Mus musculus: one gene and its partner. The protein of the gene in region 1 purifies or fractionates together with the protein of each later gene. This does not show direct contact. Links are inferred from orthologs where the notes say so. Each region holds a gene or a part of one and is shown in the gene's direction. Other genes may lie near its edges.

Region 1 (5,652 bases):
TTCTTCCACAGGTCCTGAGTTCAAATCCCAGCAACCACATGGTGGCTCACAACCATCCATAATGAGATCTGATGCCCTCTTCTGGGGTGTCTGAAGACAGCTACAGTGTACTTATGTATAATAAATAAATAAATAAATCTTTAAAAATATATATACAACAAAATATACTAGGAAATAATAATGCACTTTAGAGTAAATAAATATTTTATGGTTTCTTTGTGGGTTATGTTGTTTTGAGGTAGGGTCTCCTGTAATCCAGACCAGCTGCAAACTTGTCATGTGGTTGTGGCTGGCCTTGAACTCACTGTCCTTTCTCAGCCTCCTGAGTGCTTGGGTTATAGATAGATATCACCATACCTGGCTAAGTATGGGACTTCACAGATTGTTTTTCATGTGTATCAGGAGATGAAGAGGAAGAAATGGATCATCAAGAGGAAGGAAAAGAGCAGCTTTCCGAAGTGGAAGGCAGTGGTGAGGACGATCAGGGAGATGACCATAGCGAGAGCGCCCAAAAGGTGAAAGGCCAGCCGAGGCACAAGAGGCTCTTTACCTTCAGCCTCGTGAACTCCTGTGGAACTGCTGATATCAATTCACTGGCAACTGACGGGAAACTCCTCAAACTCAACTGTAAGTGCTTGCTTGCCCCTTCAGGTAGACTTGGGGCACATAAGAGCTCTTTAGGAATCGTGTTACTTCATATCCCCTACATCAGGTGGTAACTCTTTATGTAGCTCTAGGGTCAGACATTTGAGTGCCTTGGAGAACGGTTGAGGACACACATCTCTCAAAGGAGTTTTACCCTGTTCCCTTCGGTAGTAGAGTGGCAAGTTTAAGACAAGCCCCCCCCCCATTTTTGTTTTTGTTTTTGTTTTTCGAGACAGGGTTTCTCTGTGTAGCCCTGGCTGTCCTGGCACTCACTTTGTAGACCAGGCTGGCCTCGAACTCAGAAATTCGCCTGCCTCTGCCTCCCGAGTGCTGGGATTAAAGGCGTGCGCCACCACGCTCGCCCCCCCCCCCCATTTTTATGTGTTGACATTTTACCTACTTGTATGTCTGTGCACCATGTTTGTGCCTGGTATCAGTGGACACCAGAAGACAGCATTAAATCTCCTACAATGGAAATTACTGCTGTGAACCACCAAGTGGATGCTGGGACCTGAACTCTACAAGAGCAAGAAGTATTCCTCACCATCTCTAACCCCAGGAGGTTCTAACCCAGACTTCCTATGTAGCTGATGCTGGCCTTGAACTTCTGACCTTCCTGTCTCTATCTCTTGAGTCTTTAGATTTCAGGCATATGCCACTATGCCCAGCTGTCACCTTAATCCTTGATGTTCATGACCTCAGAAGCAAACAGGCTTCCATTGCTCTGCGAGAGCTTTCCTCTGGCTCAGTGATTCTTAGGGTCATGCTAGGAGCATTTCTGTAGACTTGCTTCACTCATAAGAATAGGTGCATTTGTCTCTTTGTTCCGTAAAAATACTTAATTGTATATGATGAAGCTAGAGGTAGTTGTGGATTGTAATCAGGACAGCGCTTGGGCGCTTGGGGAAAAAGCATCTCTAGGGGTGTGGACATGCATCATGTGCGATGCCTCCATGGGCAGGGCGGACGCTGCACCCTTTGTCTTCTACCTTAACTACTTATGTTAGTTTCCCCCCCTTCCCCTTCCCCTCCTCCCCCCCTTGCCCTTCCTTCCCTTCATTTTTTTTTTTTTTAATTTTTTACCTTCCCTTCATTTTAATTAAAAAAAATTTTTTTTTGTTTTGTTTTTTCGAGACAGTGTTTCTCTGTATCCCTGGCCTCAAATTCACAGAGATCCATGCCTCTGCCCTCCAAGTGCTGGGTATTAAAGGTGCCTGCCACCATTACCCAGCTTTAATTTTAAAAATTAGATTCTGGGGCTGGAGAGATGGCTCAGCGGTTAAGAGCACTGACTGCTCTTCCGAAGGTCTTGAGTTCAATTACCAGCAACCACATGGTGGCTCACAACCATCTGTAATGGGATCCAATGCCCTCTTCTGGTGTGTCTGAAGGGAACAACAGTGTACTCACATAAAGTAAATACATAAATAAATCTTTAAAAAAAAAATTAGATTCTATGTGTTTGAGTGTTTTCCTGCATATATGTATGTGTACTATGTGTGCCTGGGACCTGCAGAGGAACTAAAGCTGTAATAAATTATGAGCTCCCGCCTTGGGTGTTAGGGACTGAACCCTAGTGTTCTACAAGAGTAATAAATGATCTCTTACTACTGAGCCATCTTTCCAGCCCAACCCATACCTTTCAAAAAAATTTTATGTGAATGGGTATTTTACATGTATATATATGTGTGCACCATATGAGTGCCTGCAGAGGCCAGAAGAGGGCATCCGATCCCCCGGGACTGGAATTTCAGACAATCAAGAGCCTTTGGGTGCTGGTAATTGAACCTGGGTCTTCAGGAAGAGCAGACAGGGCACTTAGCTGTCAAGCCATCTTTCCAGCCTCCTCCAGCTTTTTAAATGTTTCATGTATTTATCAAGACTAAGGACTGACCTCAGGAACTTGCACATACAAGGCAGAGGCTCTAGCACTCACTGTAGTTCCTGGTTCCCTTTACACAGTCTTTTATCTGAGTTTTTATTGCTGCCTGTCTGTAAGCTTACTACATGCATGCCTCGTGCTCACAGAGCCCAGGAGAGGTTGTCAGATCCCCAGAAACTAGAACTACAGACTACTGTGAGCCACTGTGTGGGTGTAGGGAGCTGAGCTTGGGTACTCTATAAGAGCAGAAAATGCTCTTAATCTCTGAGCCATATCTACACTCCCATTTACATTTTTATTTTGTTGTTTTGTTTTGTTTTTCGAGACATGGTTTCTCTGTGTAGCTCTGGCTGTCCTGGAACTCACTCTGTAGACCAGGCTGGCCTCAAACTCAGAAATCCGCCTGTCAGATTCTGGGTTTTGGGGGTTATCTGTAATATTAGGGGAGACTTTGAAGCTGTGGGAGGTTGAGATTCAAAAAGGCTGCCCCAGGTTCTAGCATTGCTCTCCTCAGTGGCTGGTGGTGGGTGAGCAGGTGTGGTGCTGCTGCCTGAGTGTGGCCCTTCTCACTTGGAGAGCCTCTCCTGGTGTTGGTCATTCCATAATGAGTGACACTATGGTCCCCTCCACAGCTCGATCCACACTGGCCATTGACTGGGACAGTGAGACCCGAAGCCTTTACTTTGATGAGCAAGAATCTGAGGTATGTCATTTGGGGTTTGTGGTCAGTGCTGTGTTCTGGCTTCTGCTCTGAAAATACATTGATGTTCATCTCATTGATTGGACAACAGTTAAATTTTCCTTATGACTTGAAATGAAAAGCACCCAAGACTGCCATTCTGTGTGCAGAGACTGCAGAAAGCACGGTATATTCCAGGCAGAGCTTGAGCATCCCGTGAGCCGCCAGGAGGCTTCACAGCAGAACTCAGTGCTTCTCTCCGCAGGCCTGTGAGAAGCACCTGAGCATGTCACAGCCGCAGAAGAAGAAGAAGGCGGCAGTAGCCCTGCGAGAGTGCATCGAGCTCTTCACCACCATGGAGACCCTTGGGGAGCATGACCCCTGGTATGCAAGTCCCCGAGCTCTGAGCAGGGGACCTATGTACCCTAGGCTCTGAGGTTTGCTGGGACCACCTGTGTGCACAGAAACCTCCTCCTGTGCCTGGACAGGTCATCTTTTCTTAAGCAGTTCTGTAAATATTTGTGTGTGAGAGACGACTGTTTGCTGGACTGAGAAAAGCCACTGCTCTGATGAGAAGGCAGGGGTTTGTTCATAAGTCCTGGGGTTGAGTCCTGCCTGGAAGGTCTCCTTGTGACCTCCTGCTGCCCTGGCTAAGTAAGTCTCTTCTGTCTTTAGGTACTGTCCCACCTGTAAGAAGCACCAGCAGGCAACAAAGAAGTTTGACTTGTGGTCTTTGCCCAAGATCCTGGTGGTTCACCTCAAGCGTTTCTCCTATAACAGATACTGGCGGGATAAACTTGACACCGTGGTGGAGTTCCCAGTCAGGTGGGTGTGTGCACAGGTGCTGAGGAGGGAGGTGAGAAGATAGATGCTGGAGTTAGATTGTAGTACTTGGCTCTGGGAGGTTGACTTGTGACTTGTGGAGCAATCCTTCCTTCCCCTACTCGTGGGAAAAGTCACTACTAGAAGAGTCCTGCTGATTGTGTCACTGCTGATCTGCTTGTATCCTCACACTGGTCTGTGGCCTGTCCTGGCCGTCATTGCTGTCAGGGAACTTGGCTTCAGCCAGGACAGCACAGGCTCAGTTCTGTTTCTTATTAACAGGGCGAGGCAACCAGGTTAGCCTACCCGCGGGAGCTGATGTTCAGCTGGGTGTGGTGTCGCATGCTTGTAATTCCTTGCTCGGGCAGGAGGATCATTGATTGAGTTTAAGGCCACCTTTGTAGTTAAAATTTTGTTTACTTTTTTTGTTTGTTTGTTTTGGTTTTTTGAGACAGAGTTTCTCTGTGCAGCCTGGGCAATCCTGGAACTCACTCTGTCATTCAGTGCCAGTCTTAGCCCCCTGAGTGCTGGGATTGAAGCCTGTGCCTCAGCCTGACTGTTATTTTTTACCTTTTCTTTATTTTTGAAAATTGTATAATGGGCTGGTGAGACTAGGCAGCTCATTGAGAATCCTTGACCCCCAAGCCTGCTGACCTGGATTTGTTCCCAGACTCAGGGTAGAAGCAGAGAACCAACTCCTAAAATTTGTCCCCAGCTCTTTCTGCAGTGTGGATTTCAGTGCAGAATACAGAGGTAATGCTAACATATCCAGTTTTTTGGCCCCCAACAACAATTCCCTAATGTCAGCAGAAAGTAATTATGCACGATTGAGTCACTCCCCTTATTCCTTTGAAGAGGCAGGCAGATTTCTGAGTTCGAGGCCAGCCTGGTCCACAGAGTGAGTTCCAGGACAGCCAGGGCTACACAGAGAAACCCTGTCTCGAAACACCAAAAAAAAAAAAAAAAAAACCAAAAACCAAAAAACAAAATGATGGAATGATAGCCTAGTCAGGTTAGAGCAGGTTCTTGCTCTCCAGTCTCTGTAGGATCATCTGGGGCTAGGGACATGCAGTTAGCAGTTGGAGCAATTTGCAGCCTTTAATTGACTAGAAATCTGCTCAAGCAGATACATATTAAGGGTAGAAGCTAAAGCTAAGGAGTTTGGGGAAATTTTTTTCTTAGGTGTGCATTAGAAACTTTTAGGCCCGTGGTCCTAGTAGTTGGGAACGGGAAGTCCCAAGACCAGGGAAAGGGGGAGAGGAGAGATCCCAGGCTCAGGACCAGGCAGGTGAGGAAACAGGCTGTTGACTGAGTCCATCTGGAGTCCATTTGACCTGTGAGAGGTCGATTCAAGGCGATTCCCTGAAGCTTCCAAGAATTGTTATTATTATTATTATTATTATTATTATTATTATTATTGGTTTTTTCAAGACAGGGTTTCTCTGTGTAGCCCTGGCTGTCCTGAAGCTCACTTTGTAGACCAGGCTGGCCTCGAACTCAGAAATCTGCCTGCCTCTGCCTCCCGAGTGCTGGGATTAAAGGCGTGCGCCACCACGCCTGGCTAGAATTATTTTTTTAAGTTTATAAAAAGTGATGTTTTAGGTATGTTAGTGTTAACCACTGT
Region 2 (5,652 bases), on another chromosome or scaffold:
ACTTTTGGCAAGTTGTTGGTTTGGATTCATAAAGTTTCTTTTTGATACCTGCTTAAAATAGCATTGAAAAGACATGTCCTGTACATTTGGCTATCCCTTAGTCCTATCCTGCGCCTTGGTGAGACGCGTGAGGAGAAAAAGATGTTGTGAGCCTGTCAGAGCTGTCTTCATGCACAACAGCTCCCTGCTTTGAAGGTCTAATTTGGTGTTTTCCTTTCAAATGCCTTTTGCTAATTTTCATTGCTCCGTCATAATATTGCTGTTGTTTTGAATGAAGTTTTGTTTAGTGCTCATGCAGTTCATGTGTTATTTATGTGATTATTTGCATATGTGACCAGGCCCTAAACTAGATACTCACAAATGTATCCTGCAACTGTCTTAACCCGTACTATAGATCTGATAGAGCTGGGTACACACTAAATTTAATAGACAGCTTACTTGGAAAATGGTTAAAATCAACCACAACGGTATTTTTTCCGTTCCTTGCTAAATGGTTACACCATCGTCACACCTAACCTTCCAACATTTGTAAATTTTCTGTACAGACATTTTAAAGTGAAATTGATTATTAAAATTATATTTTTCTAGTTTCCTATCCTAATAACTCATAGCCAGTTTTTCAGTTACCGTGTTCCTTGGAGAGGGAGAGGGAAGGAGGGTTCCAGGCATGAGATGAGCATCAGGTTCTGAATATTTAAGAATAAAGATGAAATGTGTTTGTGAGATGTGCAAATGGAACATAGAAACAATGACGTCTCAAAGCCAAGAAGTTTAGCATCCTGATCTCATTTTCAATCTGTAGCCGCTTGGTTATGAAGCGCTCACCAACTGCCTGTTGGGTAGAGGCAGGGAAGCAGGCTTCAGGGTGTAGGCCGCTCAGCAGCGCTTCTAACAGCACATGCTTTTCCTTTTGGCACGGGGTCTCATGTAGCCCTGGCTCTGACTCCAATGACTGCTTTCATCTATTTAATAATCACTCGAATGAATTCACTGTGACTGATTATTGCGGATTTTCCTGTAAGACGGAAAGGGGGTTCCCTTCCATTGTGTGCTTTGAGGATGCTTACGGCTTGTTGATGTGTTTTTCCCCAGTGTCCATTTATGGAATTTGGTTTTATGATAAGGAAGAGTGCCAGAGAATTGCAAAACTAATGAAAAAGTAAGTATTAAAAGGCCAATCGTGTCCTAGGAGCTGGCACTGTGGCTCGTATTTCTAAATGTGTGAATCAACACTAGCAGGAAGTGGTTCTCAGCTGTCATCCTCACACGACCCCACCCCCACCCCACCCCACCCCACCCCACCCCCAGACCCTGTCACTGCTTAGCATATGAAGAGAGTGAGAAACAGTTTTGCCCTGCTCTCTGCAAACTCAGCTTCTGTGGCTTATTGTTCTCTCCATGTGCTGTGAGCTGTTCCGCGGGGTGGTTTTCTTTGGCATTTTCTTCATTTGTAAATAAGTAGTATTTTCTATGGAAAGTTATGTGTCCATCAGTAAAATGAACATGCAGGGTCACCCTGAAAGGCTGCCCAGAGCCTTTGATACCCTCCACTTCCTTCTAAACTGTGCTTGTAACTCAGAGTTCCCAGATACACCTCAAACACCAAGGGCCTAGAATCCTCCTCAGTCCCCCTCTCTGGGGAAGTCCGAATCAGTTCATGTTAGTTTAGCAGTCGGTACAGAATCAATCACCTCTCTCTCCCCATCTCCCCCCCCCCCACTACTCTTAGACTTATTAGTCTCTTTCTCTCAAGCTGTTCCTGAGGTACTCTCTGACTTTGGCTTCCTTAATTGGATCACAAGGAGGCTCAGGTGCGATTGATTGGTGGGCTCTGACCAGTTCCGACTTGGCTGCTCACTGTCGGCTGCTGTTTATGCAAATAGCCAAGGTCATCAGAATTAATCAAATTCCTAATGGGGCTGGGTCTCTGTTTAGGATAGCTAGTCCCCATGTGGACGTGATGCTCGTCCTGCAAAGAACCAGTATTCGCTTCTACATCCCAGGGCAATGGAATGAAGAAGTGACCCCCACAAGGAAATAAAAACCAGGGAACACATTTTTATAAATAAAATTGACTCCTGAAACTCCTGCTTGTGAGAGCTAATTTTAGGCAACCAGCTCAAGTCCCAGATGGTGATTAAGTGTGTTCAAACTGGTATTTACCACCATAACAACTAGTTCCTTAAACATTTCATGGTGTTGTAAATTGTGCAAGGGACAATAATAGCCGGATTTCATATGGATTAAAAAATACCCTGTAACTCAGCCAAGAGGTCATGGTAAACCTGGTGCGTGCCTCACCCCTCAGGCAGGAAGCCGATTGTAGATAGCAAGGAGCAGTTGATCTGTGTGGATTCAGATGCATTCTCTAGTTAGAAGGAAATCTGTTGGTAACTTTGCAGGTCATACTTTACCAGTATCTGCATAGTTAACATAAGAATTTGAGCTGAAAAATCAAAGCACACAAAGAAAAGGACTTAAAAAAATGTTTCCCTGTAGCATTTAGGACCATGAGGTCAGTGTTCGAATGGGACCTTTTCGATTCTGAATCGCCAAGGTCTGAGGTGGTACAGCCCACCTTGCTTGACCTCACAGCATTCTGGAAGGGAAGGAGTCTGTACCATAGAGATCTTCCCTGTTGAATGTTCTGTAAGGCTTCCTCCACAGTCAGCAGCCGCCCTGCGGCTGTAGTGTAAAAGCAGCCAGGACTGCTCTGTCCAGCAACGAGCAGGCCTGTGTTTGTTATTCTCTTTATTAGAACAGGTGGAGCAGGCTAGAGTCCAAAGGACAGAGCTTCTGATGTCCTACCCTGGATTTGCATATGTGGCCTGTTGGCTCAGGACCTCTTCTCTCATTTTCTGTTTCAAATGCTTAAGCAGTCCTAAGATGGTTGTAGTGGGATGAAAACCCTTGGGAGAGAGTTGGAGTGATAAATAGCATCGCTTTTGACTTTAGTTTCCTGAATCGCAGCTTCCCGTTTTTCTAGCCTCACTCAGAGCGAACAGTTGAAAGCCTGTCATGGAGCCGGATCCTCCCCCGTGACCTTGAGCTCAGGAGAGGGCCAAGAAGTAGATATCCTGCAGATGCTCACCAAGGCCAAGGATGAGTACACCAAGGTGAGTCTCCTCTTCCTCGTGGGGATACCACGGTGGCAAAGCCCACCACTGACGGCAGCAGGTGAAGTCAACAGAGCAGGATGTAGAGGGAGCCTAAGAAATCAGTGGCCTGCATACAAATGGTATCCAGTTAGAGGGCCTCCTAGACTTAGAGTGGCAACGTGTAAACCAAATTCATGTCTTTGTTGGTGGGTAGGCCTGTAATCCCAGAATTAGGGAAGCTGAAACAGGAGGATGGTGAGTTTCAGACTAGCCTGGACTACATAGTGAAGTATTTCATAACTCAAAGCATGAGCCCAGCAACATGGCTTGGTAGGACACCTGCCACCAAGCTTCATGGCCTGAGTTTGATCCTTGGGATCCACATGGTAGACGGGCAGAACCAAGTTCCACAAGGTCTCCTCTTCTGAACTCCACACATGCGCTGTGGTAATTTAAAAAGTAGAAATCAGAACAAAAGGCATAAAAGTAGACTTGAACAGACAAAAGTGTATGCCCTGTTCTAACATATATATGTTAGCTAAGGAGGTGTGTGTGTGTGTGTATGTGTGTGTGTGTGTGTGCATCCTAAGTATTAAGTAGAGATAGCAAAATTAGTTCATGGTTTGTTAAATAAAAACTACAGACTCCTGACTCCCTGAAAAGGCTGCAAAATGCTTGGCACCCAGTAGCAGTAAGCACCTCTGTTGCCCTGGGTGACCTCCTCCTAAGCTCGCGATGCTCTGTGAAGATGGTTCTGGTTGCTGGGCAAATGGGATCCTATGTAGTGGGCACTGTAGCCAGCTTACAAGAGTGTCACGAGAGCCCAGCAGCAGTGCAGACAGAGTGCTGGGTGTGGAGTTAAGTAATAATCCATGATGTCATGGTGACAATGACAGAGACAGCGTGGACCAAGTCTACCAAAAATAAACTATTGCTATCTTGTTTTGAAAGGACTCAGACACCAAACCTGCCTCTGACACTGATATTTAATTGAGTGCTGGAGTGCATACATGTGTGTATGCACATATATATACACACACACAGAGTCACAAACAAGCCACAGTTCACATGTAAAGGTCAGGACAGCTTTCAAAAGTCAGGTCCCTCAGCCCTGTGGGTTGTGGGTTCTGGGAACAAGCTAAGGTCATTGGTGATTTCAGGCATTAAACTCAGGTGGCCGGTGGCTGGGCCCCTTTCTCCCACTAGTCTTCTCATAGGTGTCACCTGATAATACTCCCTCTGTGCATTCTTCTTGGTAGTGAGCTCTAGGGGTCTTCAGACTTTCCATCACATGGTCTTTGGGGTATTTTCTAAGCATTGGAAACTGGTGTTGCTTCCTGAAAGTGCCTTCCTGCCTTTCCTCCCCTTTTGCACTCATCCAAACAAGGTGAGCCTTTCACAGTCCATCTCCTACCCATCATCACCAGGGCCACGCCCAACCTCCACAGCTGGATGGAAGGCTCTCCTGTTAGCATCAGTCGTACTGCATAAGTCCCGCCTGTGTTGTCACCTCTCCTGTGTGCATGTCACCTCTCCTTTGTGCATGTAGGCATGTTAGATGCATGCAGACAGTGTGCAGACCATTGGTAAAATAGGTCTGGTATGAAGAAGTGGGAAGTGGAAACAGTAATAAAACACACAAGTTTTTTTTTTCCTTAGAATTCTTGTGGACGGCATCTCCATTTTTGGACATGTTTAAAGCGGCATAGTGGAGATGTTGTAAAAGAATTAAACAAAGATTTCTAGAATCCTTTTTGACTGTGGAATTTGGTGGGGAGTTCAGTTTTGTATTTAAATTATTTTTAAAATTTCAATTAAAAAGTCAAATGTGTATAAATGAGGGCATACAACACGAGGCTTTGATACATACACGTTGTAGAGTGACTACATGAAGGGAATGAACACATACTTACCTTACGTGCTTAGCATTCTTGTGGTGAGAACACTTAAAATGCACTCTCAGCACCTTTCACAGATGCTGTTACTAGCTGTAGTCACTGTGGTGTGCGTGGGTCCTTTGAATCTCCTGCCCTGTCTGGTGTCTTATGAACATCCCCACAGTAGCCTGCGCCCCAAGCCTCTGACAGTCACTCTTACCCGCGTTTCGGCCGGCCAGGAAGAACACAACAAACCGGAATCTTCTGCGGCAAAAGCTTTATTGCTTACATCTTCAGGAGCCAGAGAGCAAGAGAGCAAGAGCCAGAGCAAGAGAGAGAAAAAGAACAAGAACAAGAAAGCAAGAGAGAGAAAGCAAAACCCCGTCCCTTTTAAGGAGAATTATCCTCCGCCTAGGACGTATTACTCCCTGATTGGCTGCAGCCCATCGGCCCAGTTGTCATCACGAGAAAGGCAGAACACATGGCGGGAAAACTGCCCCTGCACGTGTGCAGATTATGTTTACTACTTAAAACACAGCTGTCAGCGCCATCTTATAATGGCAAATGTGAGGGCGGCTCCCAACAAGTCACCATGCTCTGTGCCCTTGGAACTCTGCTTTTCTAGAGTCCACATAGAACTGATGTCACGTGACCTGTGTCTTTCTGGGCTGTGTTGA

The links. The genes of interacting proteins can lie anywhere in the genome.
Region 2: the proteins of Usp4 (region 1) and Dcp1b purify together in Homo sapiens (co-immunoprecipitation; 3 studies listed by BioGRID and IntAct, with this or other methods). This does not show direct contact. The link is inferred for Mus musculus from reciprocal best matches to the Homo sapiens genes USP4 and DCP1B.

The regions. Positions count from the first base shown.
Region 1 is NC_000075.6:108,380,926-108,386,577, forward strand, and holds part of Usp4 (ubiquitin carboxyl-terminal hydrolase 4), read left to right. Parts: intron 1-402; coding exon 403-627; intron 628-3,159; coding exon 3,160-3,230; intron 3,231-3,456; coding exon of another isoform or gene 3,457-3,471; coding exon 3,472-3,590; intron 3,591-3,881; coding exon 3,882-4,031; intron 4,032-5,652.
Region 2 is NC_000072.6:119,197,836-119,203,487, forward strand, and holds part of Dcp1b (mRNA-decapping enzyme 1B), read left to right. Parts: intron 1-1,092; coding exon 1,093-1,159; intron 1,160-2,970; exon of another isoform or gene 2,971-2,986; coding exon 2,987-3,116; intron 3,117-5,652. UniProt on the Homo sapiens protein: May play a role in the degradation of mRNAs, both in normal mRNA turnover and in nonsense-mediated mRNA decay. May remove the 7-methyl guanine cap structure from mRNA molecules, yielding a 5'-phosphorylated mRNA fragment and 7m-GDP.